2 linked regions of the Caenorhabditis elegans genome follow. The protein of the gene in region 2 purifies or fractionates together with the protein of the main gene of each other region. This does not show direct contact. Each region holds a gene or a part of one and is shown on either strand. Other genes may lie near its edges. The genes, in order: cpi-1 and mtg-1.

The links.
Region 1: the proteins of mtg-1 (region 2) and cpi-1 fractionate together in Caenorhabditis elegans (co-fractionation; one large-scale study listed by BioGRID). This does not show direct contact.

What each region holds. Positions count from the first base shown.
Region 1 is NC_003282.8:6,092,069-6,095,766, reverse strand, and holds cpi-1 (Cystatin cpi-1), read left to right. Parts: upstream 1-2,134; 5' UTR 2,135-2,149; coding exon 2,150-2,251; intron 2,252-2,543; exon of another isoform or gene 2,544-2,565; intron 2,566-2,698; coding exon 2,699-2,770; intron 2,771-2,845; coding exon 2,846-3,091; 3' UTR 3,092-3,164; downstream 3,165-3,698. Other genes in the region: K08B4.7 (Cystatin), read left to right, coding at 3,419-3,520. UniProt on the Caenorhabditis elegans protein: Cysteine protease inhibitor which inhibits members of the peptidase C1 family. Does not inhibit asparaginyl endopeptidase. May play a protective role against exogenous cysteine proteases derived from soil bacteria or fungi, or rotting fruits and vegetation.
Region 2 is NC_003281.10:1,531,685-1,538,743, reverse strand, and holds mtg-1 (CP-type G domain-containing protein), read right to left. Parts: upstream 4,863-7,059; 5' UTR 4,852-4,862; coding exon 4,803-4,851; intron 4,744-4,802; coding exon 4,622-4,743; exon of another isoform or gene 4,520-4,621; intron 4,442-4,519; coding exon 4,320-4,441; intron 3,923-4,319; coding exon 3,845-3,922; intron 3,400-3,844; coding exon 3,228-3,399; intron 3,072-3,227; exon of another isoform or gene 3,022-3,071; intron 2,276-3,021; coding exon 1,975-2,275; intron 819-1,974; coding exon 616-818; 3' UTR 546-615; downstream 1-545. Other genes in the region: Y67D2.5 (N-acetyltransferase 9-like protein), read left to right, coding at 31-234; snf-6 (Sodium-dependent acetylcholine transporter), read left to right, coding at 5,976-6,074, 6,459-6,552, 6,913-6,972.

The sequences.
Region 1 (3,698 bases), on a different chromosome or scaffold from region 2:
TTCTCGTGATTTTCAATGCCTTGTTGCAATGATTCGAGTGCAGGCATACCGAAACAGAAAGAAAAAAGTGATTATTCTCATTGAGAAACAAGAAAACACCTTATCAATAAGGGAAAACGCTTCGTACGGAAACTCATGAAAAGCGAGAAGAACAAAACAAAATTCGCCGATTTAACGATTCGAAAGCGACAGAAAACCTTAATTTTAAAAATATTTCAATTAAATTTATCGATAATTTCAATAATTTCAATAAAAAACTTACGGAAACTGTGCGTGCACGTGATCCCAGGTTGGCTGCGGTGTTTTCGGCGATTCGTAGAAATTATCGTGTGTTGAGTAGGCGAGAGGCATTTCCTGAAATTTCTGAATGTTATTTTCATCAATTATAACAAAAATTACAAGAAATAACAGTGGAAACGAAGAGAAATCGTTGAAAATCGAGAAGTAAAATTTAAAATATTTTTCAATTTGAAAATTTTGTGCATTTTAACGTGGCGGTGTTTGCGTACATTTTGAATTTTCTCATTGTCGACCGTAGTTTTCGGTAATTATTGTGAAAAATCGGATGTTCAAACGAACTTTCGTTTGAACATCCGATTTTTCTACGCGTGGAGATGAGTTGTGTGTGTACTCCACACGGACAAATACATCAGTTTTACAACTAGTTGTAACTAAAAACGAGCCGCGAAGCCACACGCAACGCGCCGTAAATTTACACAAAATCTCTCCGACCCAAAATGCAGCCTAATTCGTAAGGTATTGTTGATTTTTATTTCATTATCTTTTCTTGCTAATTGAAAAAAGTCACATACAAAGCGCATGTTTTATTAAAACAATACTTTTTTCCGATCACATGCTGTTATTTTGATACAGTTTCGGTAGAACTTTTGATTTTAGTCTTTACTTTTAAATCTCGCCGCGATTGTACTGTAAGTGATTAAGATATGTATATTACGGGAACAATAAAGCATGATAATGCGTACTTGGTGCATTTTATTTGACGCGCGATATCTCTTAGCGAAAACTACAGTAAGAGCTTAAATATTTATTGTTATTTGAGTTCTTACTGTAGTTTTCGCTAAGAGATATCCCGGGTCAAATAAAAGCACCAAGTACGCGTTCTCATGATTTCTTGTTCCCGTAATACGGTACGATCGCTTTGAGGAAACTATGGTGTTTTAACAATGACTGTGAATTCTGTCTTTCTTTGACGATATGAAACTTCATGATATTAAACTTCCGTAGCTAATTAACCAATGCGGGATGTTTTTGACCCGGGTGGCCGACAGACAACATTTTAATGGAATGGAAACGACTGCCCGGCTGCCCCAATCACGCAAACCTTGATAACTATTGTATTCTTTCACGTCTCCCAGAGAGCGTAATAAATTATTAATTACCAGCCGTGGACCGCACCTACGGCGCGGCCCCCGACTTTTTTGAGAAAACACATTAGATATACGGTGTCTATCGCGGACCTCGATCGATGTCTGCTGCGCATTTAGCATAAGGTTTCCCAAAATTTCGTCGCTCTGATCAGAGATCAAACTACATAGGGACAGAAGGACACGCGCTTTATATATAGTAAATGATTATTATGTGTTGACTAAGATCGTGGCAAGATCCACACGGAAAACATCGTGTGGCTTTATAAAATCATGTGAAGGTAAAATTCGCTTTTCTAAAAATAAAGTTCTTCAGTTCTGAAAGATTGGAACAGCCCTTCATTTAAAACAAGTTCACTTAACTTGAATGTGAAACAGTAAATTATTTATACAAAATTTTGTAAATATTTTTTGAACTAAAACGTAGTTTTGAACTCATGCCTTGTTACTTCATTTTCAGAAGCTCTGGAATTTCTATCATTGCTTTCAGGTGCAAAAAAACTCTGCAAGAATTCCTGAAGCGGCACTTTTTTCCAGAAAAACAGAACATGCAAAAGTCGAAAATAATTTATGAAATGATATCATCATATTCAGTTGTAAACAAACTTTCCAAAGGAAGATAATGAGTCATAGCTGTTGCAATGATCGATTCTTTCTCTTTTTTCAATCAAATTGTTGATCTTTAGCTGTCTCGCTCTTATCACTCACCAACTGACTCTTATAAAAGCAAACGAATGTTGACATATTTTGTGACAAAAATAAAAATGCGTTTCATTCTTCTTATCGCACTTGTTTTCGCTGTTCTTGACGGAATAAATTGCCAAATTGCTGGTGGATTGTCTGATGTGAATGCCTCTGAGTATACTGTAAGTTTTACTTAGGCTTTTTGTTGAGAAAATGCTCATTTTGTGAAGATTTCTTATATTTTTTAAAACTATAGTTGATACTTACTCTTAGGATACTTAGTCCGGTTTACTATAATTTTAATTTCTTTCAATATTCGATAAATTCATTTTTTTAAACAAAAAAAACTGGAATAAAAATTTAGCGCTTTGAAAAATTCAATTACGACTCAAAATGCTTATAAAACAAATTAAAATTAAGAGTTTTAATTTCAAAACTGCTATTCAAAACTAATTGGCACTTCGCGCAAAATTTTAATAAATGTCTACTGGTTGAACAGTATCATTTAAAAATTTTGTGCACAAATGTAAACTGTGAAACAGTGAAAAAATTCATATTTCGAAAAAAGATTTTGGTTACCGTAATTTTCAATTTAAAATATATATGCACTTTTAGTTATGAGTTTTCAGGGAGCAGCTTGGAATTCGGTGCCGGAAATAAACAGTAAGAATAATGGACAAAACTACATGGTTCCAATTAAGGTAGGTTTACTCCTCAGAGGCAAAAAATGCTGTTCAAAAAATAATACTTTGCGCTTTTATAACACTCTTATTTAGGTTGTTAAAGCTCAAGTTCAAGTTGTTGCCGGAACCAATACAGTTTTGGAAGTTCTTGTTGGAGAGTCAACTTGTCCGAGACAAGGATCAGTTCAAGCTTCTCAAGTCACTGCTGCAAATTGTCCATTGAAGTCTGGTGGCAAGCGTGAACTTTACAAAGTGTCCATTTGGGAGAAACCATGGGAAAACTTCAAGCAAACTAAGGCTGAAAAAATCAGAGGTGTGAAACCTGATGAAAAAATTTAAATTAAATCTGGTGAATGTATTCTTGCTTTCTGTACTATTTTAAAAAATTGCTAATAAAGAACTTTGGTTTTTGAAAATAGTTGCTGCGTTACGTACTTTTCTTTCCAGCTAAAACCCTAATATACATCTGAAGAAAATATTTTTTGAAATTATATCATTATATTCCGTTGAAAATCAATTGTCCATGGGAAGACAATGAGTCATACCTGTTGCGATGATCGATTTTTTTTTGAATCAAACCCTTGATCTTTTGCTGTGTCCTGTTCATCACGCACTCCCTCTCACTCCTATAAAAGCAAACGAATGTTGATATACTTTGAGACAAAAATGCGTTTTATTCTTTCTATCGCACTTCTTTTTGCTGTTCTTGATGGAATGAATTGTCAAGTTCTTGGTGGATTTTCTAATCTGAACGCTTCCGAGTATACCGTAAGTTTTCTTTTTGTAGTGCATTTTAAAATTGTGCGTTGGAAACTTTTAAAGCTCAGAAATTGGAATAATTTGAGTTTCTTAATTTAAAAGCGAAACTATCACTCGCGCTACGTTCTTTCCAATAATATAAGTAGATTGAAACAGTAGTCGAATTTTAAGAATTTTCGTGCATTTT
Region 2 (7,059 bases):
TATTTTTTTCGAAAATTTTCAATTTTTCAGAATCTGAAAATCGAGCAATTCTGCGTAAAAATTACCGATGACAACACACCAAGCCTGAGCCTATTCAAGAAGAAACTAGGATTCAAACAAATCGGCTATAGCACTGCTTTCAAGGAATTCACATTTGAATTGCCGAAAAATCGATTGATTTCTGAATTTTCGAGTTTTTTGGAGAAAAATGCAGAAATTAAGGAGTATAAATAATTATTTGTGTACTTTTACATTGAAAATAAATGTTTTTCAAAAAAAAAAAATTTTTTGTAAAAATTTTTTTCACTATATTTTTTACAAAATTCCAAAATTCTGTGTTCAGAAGCTTTTTTTAATGCAAAATATATCAAAAAATTGAGATAAAAGCCTTAAAACCACTCGATAATCCAATTTTCCGCCAAAAACTACGACACTCCGCTAGTACGCCACAGCGCGTGTTGTTTAGCAGCCCGGGAATTCAAATTTTTTACTTACAATTGAGGTTTTATCCCGTTTTTTGCCGATTTTAATGGGGAAAAATCATTAAAAATGCAGTTTTTATCAAATATTTCTAAAAATAACAACAAAAAACATGAAAAATCAACGAAAAATCTCCTAATTTCGATACAAAAAATGCTCATTATCGAGGCAAGAATCCTTGAATTTTCGATTTCTGTAGAGTTGAATGAAATATTTGGCGGCTCGATCAAAATCCCATCTTTCTCCAATACTTTGTTGAATTCTAAAGTCATTTGCAGCGCAAGTTAGGGCCAAAACTTGCTGAATATCATCAATTGGAGCCTGTTTCGGCGAAATATCTGCAAAAATCAAAGGTTTTTGGAGTTTTTTCACTGGAAAAAATCGAAAATTTACGTCCAAATTCGCCCAAATTTGATAAAAATTCGTTTTTTTTCTCACTAAAACTCAGTTTTTACTGCCGATTTTCACCCGAAACTCGATTTTTTTGGCTTCCTAGCTAAATTTTGAATTTCGAGGGGGGTACGGTAGCTCCGAAAGTACGCAAAAACTGAATTTTACGAAATTTTGCACGAATTGGCTGAAAAAGCGGTCAGAGGGGGCTATAAACCTGCGGGGAATTCGAATTTTGGCATGAAAATTTAGGAAAAATAATTTTAAACTTGGAAATTTTGAATTTTTAATGAAAACTTTTTTTTGCAGAATTTTCCAGGATTTTTCAGCAGTTTTCACACTAAAATTCGAATTCCCCGTTGAATTTCACACCGCGGGGACCTATTTCGGGGCTTCTAACCCTATTTTTAAATTTCGAGGGGTACGGTAGCGCCAAAAGTACGCAAACACCTGCTAGGCACCGAACCTTACGACAATTCGTCCGAACCTTACGACAATTCGTCATAGCTTCCGCATGTCCGAGTGACAAATGTGCTCTATTGTCAAATTGTTGCCAGAAATACGGTATTTATTCACATTTTCAGCCCAATTTAAGACTGAAAATGTGAATAAATACTCGTTTTTATGCCAGAAATCTGAGAAACGCACAAGTCACAGGGGAAATATCGAGTTTTTGTGGAAATTTAAAATTTTGAAATTTGAAATTCCAAAATATTTGAAAATCTGAATATTTCATCAAAATTCAATTGATAGAGTGAAAAATCACAAGTTTTTGAAAAAAAAAATCAATTAAAAATTTTTCCCAACTTTTTTTAATTAAAAAATTCGGTTTTTTCGGGGATTTTAGGAATGTAAACTGAAAATTTTTCGGTTTTTCAGTTAAAATCCTTTTTATTGCCCCATTATTTGAGATAAAAATCGATAAAAATGGTTTGAAACCACCATGGTGGCCTAGAAATCCCAAAAGGTAGGCCACCAATCTATTTTGTGCGAAAACCGCAATTTCTAGGTGTAAAAATGAGTGAGAAACTCAATTTTTAACTCAAAATTCGAGAAAAATCAATAGAAATATCGATCTTTAGGGTTTTTTTCCTCAAAATTCACCTAAATTTTCCTCATTTTTCTCGGAATTTTTCCTGAATTTCTGATTAATTCCCAGCAGCTCCAAATATGAAAAATCCTCCGATCGATTAAGCCAAAAGAGCAAGAAATCAGCCAAATAATACAAATTAACATGACTTTCTAGTACTAAATCACACATTGCCAGTTTCATAGCATCTTCGACATTTCGATGATTTGGTGATAGTACTCCGGGTGTATCAATAATGTAGACGGGCGGTTTGTCGAGAATTCGGACCCGATTTTGGACACGGACCGTTACTCCTGGTCTCGCGCCGGCTTCTACCTGAAAATTTGAGATTTTTAGTGAAATTTTGAGATTTTTAGTGAAATTTTGAGATTTTTAGTGAAATTTTGAGATTTTTAGTGAAATTTTGAGATTTTTAGTGAAATTTTGAGATGTTTAGTGAAATTTTGAGATGTTTAGTGAAATTTTGAGATTTTTAGTGAAATTTTGAGATTTTTAGTGAAATTTTGAGATTTTTAGTGAAATTTTGAGATTTTTAGTGAAATTTTGAGATGTTTAGTGAAATTTTGAGATGTTTAGTGAAATTTTGAGATTTTTAGTGAAATTTTGAGATTTTTAGTGAAATTTTGAGATGTTTAGTGAAATTTTGAGATTTTTAGTGAAATTTTGAGATTTTTAGTGAAATTTTGAGATGTTTAGTGAAAATTTGAAATTTTTAGTGAAAATTAGGAATTTTTGTGTAATTTTGAGACTTTTATTGAAAAATTAGGATTTTTAGTGAAAATTTAAGATTTTCAGTAGAAAAATGACACTTTTCGCACTGGAGCGCACTTGCAACATGTGGTCGGCGGGACTTTGAATTTTCAGACGATTTTTGTCAATTTTAAGGGGTTTTTAGACGAATTTTCAGTGCAAAATTTGAAATTTAGGTTAAAGTTCGAATAATTGCAAAAAAAAACCGAAAAAAACGATTTTTTAAGTAAAAATCCATGTTTTCAAAGTTGGTGGCCTAGAAAACCAAAACTCGGCCACCAACTTCTCCTCATTGAATTACTGACGTCACCAGCTTCAAAATGAGCCCCAACATGCCCAGGTTCCGTTGATTTTGAACTTTGGAAGTTTTCGACACAGATGAAACCGGTGCTACAGTAACCCGCGTGGCGAGACCCAAAAATTTTCAAAATGCGCGGAACCAGGGCATGTTGGGGGTCATTTGAAAGCTGGAGACGTGGGCGATTCGAATTTTCGGGTCTTGAAGCGATTTTCTCACAGCTTTACGCTTAATTCCGAGCGTATGTGTTCGAATCGCGTTGATTAGGGATGATTTTCCGACATTCGGGATTCCGACGACCATTGCCTGATATTCTGTTTTGACGGTTCGATTGAAACGTGGCGTATTCTCCAAAGCGTCTAACATTGACAGCTTCACATCGTTCAGAGCTCTTGAAATTTGCAGTTTAGTAGGGAAATTTCGGCATTTTCCAGCAATTTTCTGCATTTTTCAGAATTTTTCAGAATTTTTATGCATTTTTCTGAATTTTTATGCATTTTTCAGAATTTTTCAGAATTTTTATGCATTTTTCTGAATTTTTATGCATTTTTCTGAATTTTTATGTATTTTTCTGAATTTTTATGCATTTTTCTGAATTTTTATGTATTTTTCTGAATTTTTATGTATTTTTCTGAATTTTTATGTATTTTTCTGAATTTTTATGTATTTTTCTGAATTTTTATGCATTTTTATGCTTTTTTCAGATTTTTTCAGAATTTTTATGCATTTTTCTGAATTTTTATGCATTTTTCAGAATTTTTATGCATTTTTCTGAATTTTTATGCATTTTTCAGAATTTTTATGCATTTTTCTGAATTTTTCAGCTCCAAAATCACCTTGGAAGCCGTTTTTTGCAGTCTGTGAATAAAACTTTTTGAACGCCCCGCTCGTAGTAATAATCCTCGATTTGGTGCCTGAAAATGGGGAATTTTTGAGAAAATTTCGGATTTTACAGCGTTTTTTCCGAAAAAAAGGTAAAAAGAATCGATTTTTCTTCATTTTTTATAAAAATCCGGTCGAATTTCACCCAGAAATCGTTAAAAAAGTGCAAAAAATCGCGCTAAAATAGCCAAAAATTCGAATTTCCCGCCACTAGTCCACTGGAGCGCACTTGCACTGCGCGGTCGGCGGGAATTCAAATTTTTAGGTGATTAAAGTGGATTTTTGTCGGAAAATCGCAATTTTTGACTAAATTCGTTGAGAAAAAGCCGAATTTCGTCGAAAAAATCCAAAATTTTTCGGAGAAATTCTGAAAATCTTGATTTTTCAAGCGTTTTTTCCGGATTTTTTCGAATTTTTCCGGGTTCTCACTTGTATTTCTTCATATCTATCAAGTCACACTTGTTCAGGACGAGAATATGCGGTCGAATAGCGTATAAATGTCGAAAAAACTGCTGATTTCGGCCGGTAATCGGGATTCTGGCGTCGTGGACCTGGAAAAAATGTCGATTTTTGCAATATTTCCCGATTTTTCAACTTTTATAGGCGGAAAAATTCACTAAAATTCTTACACCAGTTTTTTACACCAGTTTTTCGGTTTTTCAGCGTTTTTCCGGTGATTTTACAGATTTTCCAAAAAAAAAATCGTAAAAGTTCCATTTTCCATGCAAAACCTCAATTATCAAGTCGACGGATCGCAATTTCGCTTCCATTTTTTTCAATTGTACGGACATATGCATTGGAAACCACTGCCGATAGTCATATTGCGCGGGAAGTTCGAATTGTTGGCGAAATTCTGAAAAGAATTGCGATTTCCGCGCGGAAAACTGAGTAAATAATGGGGTTTTCGGGTACCTGGAGTGGAAATTCGATATGTTGTGTGCAGAAATCGACGAAAATTCATATTTTTTAACTGGAATTTGAAAAAAAATTGAGAAAAAATTGTGAAAACAATTTTTTCCTGTAAAAAATCAAAAAATAACCTGAAATTGCATGATTCGTACTCTGCGTCTCTGCTCTCTCATGCGTAGCAATGGAGCGCAATTGCAGAGTCAATTTTTAATAACTTTGGAAAATCCTAATTTTCACCATTTTTAAGGGATTTTTTACAATTGAAAATGCGAAAAACAAACAGAAAATGTTTTTAGCCGCATTTTGACACCAAAAACTACACAAATTACTCCCCAGAGAAATATAGATTTTTCGAGAAAAACTTGATTTCAAGAAAAACTGTGATTTTTGGAGTCTTCGTGATTTTTAGAGTTTTTCTAGTGGATTTTCGGTTTGCACCGGTATTAGTTTTAAAATGTTGGTATTCTCCTGAAAAATTCAAAAAAAAACTAACAATTTCCGGTGTTTTCTGGTATTTTCTCTGTAAAAATGGTTTTTTTTTGTTTAAATCTTATTTCTTTCATAATAAATGCTTTATTCAACCAACAAAGATGCTTCCAAACCCAATTTAATTTATTTCATCAGAATTTCCATTTCAAACACCCGCCAACAAGCGATTTCTCAATGGAGCGCGTTTGCATTGGCAACCTGGAACATTTTTATTTTCCAGAGCGGTTTTTCGTGAAAAACGTAAATTTTTCATTAAAATTTTCGATTTTTATAATTAAAATTGAATTCTGGAAGTGAGTTGCAGCATTTTGACCCCAAAAATCTAAAATTTGACCCGAAAATTATTGATTTTCAGCTAAAAACTCATTAAAACCGATTTATAGCCAATTTTTTCCTGAAATAAACTAATTTTTCCCACATTTTCCCACAATTTCTCACTTTTTCATTCGTTTTCCCCGGCTTTTCACGTATGTTTTCAATTCGGGCGAGCCAACTGCTTCCGAAATTTGTGTAACAACGGGCCGCCGCGTCGCCTCGTTTCTCTTTCGTTTTTACTCTAAAATTCGTATTTTTCTTCGCAATCTCTTGCTAAATAGCTCAAAAAATCGTGAAAATTGCTAATTTTCAGGTTTTAAACCGACGAAAAATCGATTTTTCCAAGAAAAACCGAGTTTTTCCACACCGAAAATGTCGGTTTCGAGCAACGATCCGGAGCAGAGGAATGGACGGGGCATGGCAAGCGGAAACAACGTGGATATGAGCCTATATCCTCCGTTTATTAAGCAGGTTTGTGGAAAAATTCGGAAAATTCGAGAAAAACGGATAATTTTGACGTTTTTCCCGAAAAATTTGGATGATTATCGATTTTTTGTGAAAAATTCCAAAAAAACCACAAAATTTGATGAAAATTTCCACTAATTTTTGTCCTAAAACCAATAAAATCATTGAATTTGCTGAAAAATTGCCGAAAAAATAAATAAAATCAAATTCCCCGCCACTAGTCCGCTGGAGCGCACTTGCTCCACGCGGTCGGCGGGAATTCAAATTTCCGTTTGATCTACGGCGGGAAACGACCAATTCCCGCCATTTTGTTAAAGATTTCAGCGAGAATTTTGAGTTTTTAGGGAAAAAACTGATTTTTTCGCAAAAAAAACCCTGAAATTTTTCAAGCTCGACGCAAAATTGCCCGATTACACACGAGAAGGTGACATCGAATATCCATTCGAAGAGATTACGGGTGTCGGAGACGAAAATAGGATACGAGGTGCGACAAAAATCCACGTTTTTCGATTTGGTGGCCTTCAAATCCAAAACTCGGCCACCAAACTGTTTTCATTGAATTCGCCACGTCAGCAGCTTTTGAATGACCCCCAACATGACCAGAATACGTTGATTTTGAGCTTTTGTAGTTTCGACACAGCTGAAACCGGTGCTACAGTACCCCGCGTGGCGAGACCCGAATTTTTCAAATTGCACGGAAACAGGGCATGATGGGGGTCATTTTGAAGCTGGAGACGTGAAAAACACGAATTTGTGTGAAAAAATCCATAAAAACCAAAATTTTTATTGAAAAATGCTAAAATACCAACAAAAAAAATTTTTGTGAAAAAAAAAATTTTTTCAGGAAATTGGAGTAACAAGTCGGATTATCTGCTAGCAGTAATTGGTTTCACAGCGGGAGTTGGTAAGAAAGCGAGAAATTTGAATTCCCGCCAAACCGCTAAACAACACGCGTTGGTGTACTAGCGGAGTGTCGTTGTTTTTCTTGTAA